2 linked regions of the Oryzias latipes genome follow. The protein of the gene in region 2 interacts with the protein of the main gene of each other region in a pairwise test. Links are inferred from orthologs where the notes say so. Each region holds a gene or a part of one and is shown on either strand. Other genes may lie near its edges.

Region 1 (4,287 bases), on a different chromosome or scaffold from region 2:
TTGAACTCGTTGCGGGTAAAGCGGGACAACAGGTTACTCTTTCCTACGCCGGAGTCACCAATCAGGACCACTGAGGACCAAAGAGGAGGCAGGTAAGAAAAGCCATCGTTTTCCCTCTAAAGGTCATCCTCAGCCCGGGCTAAAGGCTGACAGGGAACAAAAGTATGAAATGGAAATAAACGAGTCCTGATGCATGACAGCGTTTCTCAGGTGTAACTTTTAGCATTTTGTTCTTCACTTTCAATGGGATCTACAGAGTTTAAGTCAGCTATTAAGTTTTCTTTGTAAGGTTTTCTATAGTTACAAACAGACAAGTTTGTGGACAGCTCCAGTATCACTGCAGGCCCTCAACCATAGACCTTTGGTCACTTTAGATAGTTACTCTTTAAATTCAGTCCACTTCTCTGACATCACCAAAGAAACGCCCGTCTGGCCTCATAAGCAGCTCTTAAAACAAACAGGCTAACCCAACTTTAAAGACTGGGCCAAACCTGACTGACTGCAATAAAGCCCAGAATTCTGCACAAACTGCAGGTTCGTGCAGGTGAACTGAAGCTGGTCCTGCTGCCAGGGCAGAGGTCAGCTTAACACCTCCTCATTATCCAGTCTCTTCAATATCTCTGGTTCTCCTGAAGTTTTAACGCTGCAGTCACTCCCCTGGTGCTAAGGTTACAATTACTGACCGTTTCTGTTCCAGCAGAACAGTTCAGAATTCTCTGGGTTTTGGTTGTTTTCAGCCAGAAACACCATCAGGGAGGTCAGAAGCTATCTGCCCACTTCTGCTGCTACATTTACATTTACGGTCAGCAGAGCTTCAGAGCTACGTTACGACTACAGTAAAGACCTCCAACAATCATTTACTCGCTGCCTCATTCAAAACGACGTTTCCATTTTCATCCTGGAAGGATGTCAGCAGACGGGAATGAAACAGACAGTTGAGCCGCCATCGCCCCGTCAGCCCGTCAGGCTTCATTCGTAGCGCCGTCATGCTCACAGTGCTGGACACCAAGACAAAGAATTAAACAAGCACATTCATGTCAAAATAATTCCAACCCTCTTTCCCCCAAAAGCCCAACAAGTAACCCCACACATGATCTTAAAAATTAAAATACTGAATAAAACCAAAGAACACGTATACAAGGAATACCGAAAGGTGTTTTTCATTTTCCAGTGTAAATAAATGGAAAACTTTCTATTCATTTAGCAGCCAAGGAGGCTGATGGTTCAAACTTCATCTCCTTTAACTAAACATGGCTGACATCTGGGATGTTGTGATGCGAAGTGTCGTCTCGTCAGCAATAACATTTCTGTTCAGTCCAAATACTGCACATCCGTTTTATGGAACGCCCAATCAGAGGCCGGCTTTGAAGCCCCTGGATCTACCAAAAGCTCCAAAGTCAAAGGCTGGAGTAGAACAGAATATCTGGCAGGTCGTCATGGACTGGACCCGTGTTATGAAAGTTACCTCCAAACTGTAATCCTTCACAGATTACCAGTTATTTTGTAAAAGAATGACCTGTTTCCTGACAATACTACAGCCTCAAAATGCCTTTTGTTGACTTTTATGTCACTTTCTTTGCAAGACTTGCAGACCACAACCTGTTTCACACTTGGATGGTTTAATAGTGTTGATTTTTGAACTTCATTTGATAAAAATGAAAGTGTAGCTTATCTAGTTTGAGAGAAGCAGAACCGGAGAACAATATGCTTTTGAAAGACTAAAATCAAAAACACTAATGACAGACGTTTACCAGGACACAGAAACTACACACACACACACATATGTGTGCCAAAAGAAGCCCAACAGGAAATTCAATTTAGTAAACAAGTCCGACTAAAATATTACACATAAAAACATGAAAATCAAAGTTTTAAGTGGAATTTTTCATCTATAATTGCCTTGTGCTGCTGTCATCATTACCTTTGGGTAGAGTCTGTGGTAAATCAATAACTAATGGGTAAAATGTCACAATATTAATTAATAATTCCTTGCTCTACTAGTAATAAGTTACACAATAATTACTTTTTGATTGAAGGATTTCCTTTAAACAGCTGGATGCCGTGTCCAACCATGGAAGATTACAGGGAATCGAACATCTTTCCACCTTCATGTATTCTACCGGCCGACCAGCATCACAACAACAACAGCCGCTTTACTGCTTTTATATTTTTGTGGAAAACTAAAGCAAAAGATAATAGTAGCCTTCAAAAATATACTATTGACTTTGGTTTTACACTGTCTGAATAAATGACAGACAGATTGATTCAAGTTCAATGACGGACGAGCTGGACCCGTCAGTACACTAACACACTCGGTACCGGCCCCATTTGGATCAAACGCGATAACGGTTAGGTGTGTCCCGCGCGCCTCCGGTCAGCGGGCTAGCACCGGGGGCTAACACCGGCTAACCTTAGCTAGTACTCCTCGGCAGACAAAGAGCCGCCTCCCCGGCGCTGGGTGGAGGCCGCATCACAGGCGGCATGCGCGCCGAACCCCCCCGGGAAGCCCGAAAGGGCCTGTGGCGGCACGAAGCATGAGTTCGGTTCCGTTAGCCTGTCAGCTGATCCCCGGGCCGTTAGCCCGACCGCTAAACGAAACAAACGCACCTCACCTTTGAATAAATAGTCGTATTCGTCATCCCTGGTGCCCATCGTCCTCGCGTTAATCCGAACTGCAGTTATCTTAAAGACTAAATGCGTTTCTGTCTTTCTTTTTGGGTTATTTTTTGTTTTCTTTTTTACTTTTCCGTCAGGAACTGAAGGAGAAGATCAACTTCCGCAAGTTCTTCTTCCTTCAAGCAGCGCCCCCTTCCTGGGAAAGGTGACGCCTGGCGGCGGTACAGGGAACTGCTGTTTGTTTGTTTATTTGTCTGGTTCATTTGTTTGTTTGTTTTAATTTGTTTGGGGTTTTTTAAATCTTTTTTGTTGTTGTTTTTTAAGGAAGGATCCTTTCTGAGATAAATTACTGTGTCTAAGAAGGAAAAAAATATTTTTAATTCTGCAAAATAAAAAGACAAGGAGGTGAAGTGCTTCCTTTAGTACTGGATCTCCTCGCAAGGGATAACTTGGGAAATCCATTGGAAAAATGCAGACAATAATTCCATCTCACAGCATCAAAAGTAGAGATATAATTGACTGTTTACAATCAAAATGTAGGAAGCACAAAAGAACCAAAGACAATAAGTAAATGATTTTTCTGTTGTAATAAATCATATTGCATTGATTTACTTTGAAGGTATTGTTGATTGATCCTTTTTAAGAAAAACAGCAAAAACACAAGTGACTGAACTAACATCTCTCTGCTCTTTGGTCCTTGTAGGGCTTGGTATCTCCAATGGCAACTATTGTTGGTGAAGTCAAGCTTCTTTCATCTTCGCCAACTTGCCAAGGTAAAACCTTTTTTAACAGCTGCACATTTTGAAACAGTAATCCAGGCGTTCATCACGTCCCGGCTGGATTACTGTAATTCTCTGTATGTTGGACTCAGCCAGTCGTCTCTCTCACGTCTCCAACGTGTTCAAAATGCAGCTGCCCGTCTTCTGGTTGGAGGACGTAAGAGAGACCACATCACGCCAATTTTAGCTTCGCTCCACTGGCATCCTGTGAATTTTAGAGTTCACTTTAAGATTCTTTTATTTGTTTTTAAATCTTTACATGATCTTGCCCCGCTGTACCTCTCTGAACTTCTCTCTCCCTATTCGCCGGCCTGGTGCCTCCGATCAGCTGATCAGCTGCTTCTGGAGGTACCGAGGTCCAGATGAAGCTCAGAGGGGACAGAGCTTTTTCTGTTGCTGCTCCAAAGCTTTGGAACTCTCTGCCACTGTCAGTAAGAGAAGCTCCATCACTGTCCATTTTTAAAACACGCCTGAAAACCCATTTTTATGCTCTGGCTTTTAATATGACATGAGACTTCTGTTATTGCTGTGTTGCTGTACTGGTTTTTATTGTTTTATCTCTCTATTTTTAATCTTGTGTTTTAAGATGTTTTAGTGTTTGTTTTCTTCTTTTTCTCGTGTTCAGCACTTTGTGTCGGCGGCTGTTGACTGAAAGTGCTATATAAATAAAGATGAGTTGAGTTGAGTTGAGTTGAGTTGCCATACATACGATGACTCAGAGCGACTTGGACCAATCACTGTCGACTGGTTTCAACATGGCGTTGCCCGTTTTAGGAAGCAATTGAGAAGGGTGTTGCCTCATTTCGCCAGAGCTGGAAGTCAGGCATTTTCCATGGATGATGTCATTTTCTATGGATGATGTCATTTTCTGTGGATGATGTCACACTTCGTC
Region 2 (2,743 bases):
TTGAATCACCTACAGTCTGCCGGAACCTGAGAGTGGAAGCCGATTCCATCCGGAACCTAAAAGTCTTAGTGTTTGTTTCAAAATAGAGATTTTGAGACTTTAAATCTCCTCTGAGGGATTTTGGTGTTACCTTGTTGTTTCATGAGCCTCCTACCTGCTTACAAACCTGTTGGGCAACTGTGTGTGTGTGAGTCAGGGCAACCAGGCAATGACCTTTCTAATACCACGTCAGGGAATCTAACACTTCCGATTGTGATCTAAAAATAACACCAACTACATAAGTCAGTCAGGCTTTGATGCCTTGCTTTTAATGGAACACAGTTACTAATATCCTTACAAGTTATTTTTATTGCTCTAATACAAACTTTTTCATTTTTTACCATCAAAACACTTTAAAAAATGTTTCCAGCCAAGCCGAATGTATAGCAGGTTACTTTTCATAGTGTCATATGGCTGTGTTTACCTTTTGTTCAATTTACTTGATGGCTTTTGGTGTACTGTTCACTACATGTTATAAAAGCTTGTTTTTCTACTATGTCAATCTGTGAGATATTGGGATTTCATGGTGATATCTATTTGGGATAAACTTTTTTTTTGGCAAAAAGGCAAAATACAGGTATTTTGTTTTATGTTTTTGTATAAGAAGGCACAGTGAAGGCCATGCTGAGAAAGAAACTCTTAGCGGCCATGTTTTGTATTCAGAATAATTTCAGTAAGAAAAAGTTTTCCTGAGGTGGCTGAACAAGGAAAAACCCAGAAGAACTATATGGATAGTCTTTCAGAGCCTGAAGTGTGATAAATAGTTCATCTTTAGTCTTAACAATGAAATGTTTCGAATATTTTATAACACCACAGAAGTGAATCACTGGAGAACAACAGTAGCACATTATTCAGAATCAGTGAGTGTTCTAGAATTTCCTTAATCTTAAGTTTCCTGTGCTTCTTTTTTTTTATTTAACAAATTCTTTTTCCCTTGTTGGGTGACCTTTCCTTCAGCATAAATATTACAAAAAGCTAATCAAACATCTGCATGTTGGCACAACTTTTCCTGATTATAAGTGATTTATTGGGGCTCGTGTGATCACACTGCTATCTGCCGAGTGTTTGGTGGACCTCTAGCCCTGGTCAGTGAGGTAGAAGCCTAGCTTGGCCACAGCCATCTCTCTGCGAAGACGCATCACCTCCCAGAACATTTGCTCCGCTGGAAAAAAAGGCAATCAAAGCTGTCAGCTGGACGATCAAACAAAGAGTTAGGAAAGCAGTAAGTCCAACTTACCATCATGTCTTACCAGGCCCTGCTGGATGTACCGGATATAGGTAAAAAAGTTGCAAACAGTTGTGATCTGTAAAAATGTGAACAGAACTCGCATTTGGTTTTACTTCACAACAACACCAGTCACTTTTAGGATAAAATTCACAGAGAAATCTTAATGCTCACTCGCGCACGGCTCGACGGAGAGATGTAATAGTACGTGCCCTTGTCACCCAGTTTGATGCGATGTTGGCAGGCCCGTGACAGGCCACTTAATGCACATTTTCTATAAACAGAGGTCAACAGTCAAGAATGGAGGTGCAAACAAGTTTGCACTTTTTCTTTAGATGTTTAGTAATAAAACTATTGGAAAACTGGCAGTTAAGGAAACTAGAATAGAAAAAGGTTCAAAACCCAGGTTAGTCACAAAAAGACCAAAGATATGCACGTTAATGCAAAAGCAGACGCATAAAATCATTAGTTTGCATTCTTTTAAAGTCTGAAACACATTCTGTACGGTAGGATCCAGCTCAGATCACAGTCATGTGGATTAGTGAAAGTTTGATCGAATGATAGATTCCTGACTGGACTTACGTTTCTACTGCAGCCCTATAACCACAGAAAAAGAGAGGGGTTTTTTTAGATCAAAAAGAAGATTAGGCGTATGGCCAATGATTCACACACTACTATTGTGACAGTGAAAGGACCACACTGATAAATGACCAGTGGATGAGCAAAGGCCACCAAAAGAGTGAACACCCAAGGTTGATTTGGCTATTTAGAAGTGAATAGGGGGACTAAAAAAGGGTCATTAAAGGTATGGGTAACTCACCTTGGGCCTCCGCACTCTATAAAAGAGGCTTTGATCATCGGCAGAGCTGGTATGGCCACAGGCTCAATGGTAAGAGAATTGCTCTCCACTGCACCCTGAACCAGCTGGGACAGCTGTAGGAAAACACCAGCACGGGTATCAGTACTACTTCACACATCAATTTAAGACTGTGCAAAGAAGCATTCTGACCTCTGATCTTGTGAAGGATAGGCAAGGTCCAATGTCTTCTCTGTAAACGCGGCTCAAAAAGGCAGAGGATCGGTCCAGACTGGGACATTCCCTCCACAACAAAAACTCTGTATACAGAATTGAGTCCATCTGCAAACAGGAAATAGAAACTCGGTGGCACAACTCCTTTAACTTCAAAAACATAAGAGTGAAAGTAACAGGAAAAATAGAAAACAGACAATTACAATTATCTGTAAACCAAGGTTGAATGATGTAAAGAATCTATGGCTACGTTCACAATGCAGGCTGAAACAACCCAGTTCCGATTTTTTTGCCCCTTTGCGACCTGTATCTGATCTTTTCATGACAGTCTGCACGACACAGATCCGATCTTTTCAAATGTGACCCAGGCTACTTGGGTATGTGGTCCTGAATCCGATACGTATCCGATCTTTTAAAATGCGACCCCTGTCTGAACGGCCAGGACACAT

Evidence for each region. The genes of interacting proteins can lie anywhere in the genome.
Region 1: the proteins of rab3il1 (region 2) and rab11a interact in a two-hybrid assay, tested with the Homo sapiens proteins (2 studies listed by BioGRID and IntAct). The two-hybrid records come from large-scale screens. The link is inferred for Oryzias latipes from reciprocal best matches to the Homo sapiens genes RAB3IL1 and RAB11A.

What each region holds. Positions count from the first base shown.
Region 1 is NC_019861.2:431,237-435,523, reverse strand, and holds the start of rab11a (ras-related protein Rab-11A), read right to left. Parts: upstream 2,815-4,287; 5' UTR 2,653-2,814; coding exon 2,613-2,652; intron 71-2,612; coding exon 1-70. UniProt on the Homo sapiens protein: The small GTPases Rab are key regulators of intracellular membrane trafficking, from the formation of transport vesicles to their fusion with membranes.
Region 2 is NC_019864.2:15,776,773-15,779,515, forward strand, and holds the end of rab3il1 (guanine nucleotide exchange factor for Rab-3A), read right to left. Parts: intron 2,403-2,743; coding exon 2,274-2,402; intron 2,198-2,273; coding exon 2,085-2,197; intron 1,862-2,084; coding exon 1,847-1,861; intron 1,539-1,846; coding exon 1,439-1,538; intron 1,344-1,438; coding exon 1,277-1,343; intron 1,202-1,276; coding exon 1,116-1,201; 3' UTR 588-1,115; downstream 1-587. UniProt on the Homo sapiens protein: Guanine nucleotide exchange factor (GEF) which may activate RAB3A, a GTPase that regulates synaptic vesicle exocytosis. Promotes the exchange of GDP to GTP, converting inactive GDP-bound Rab proteins into their active GTP-bound form.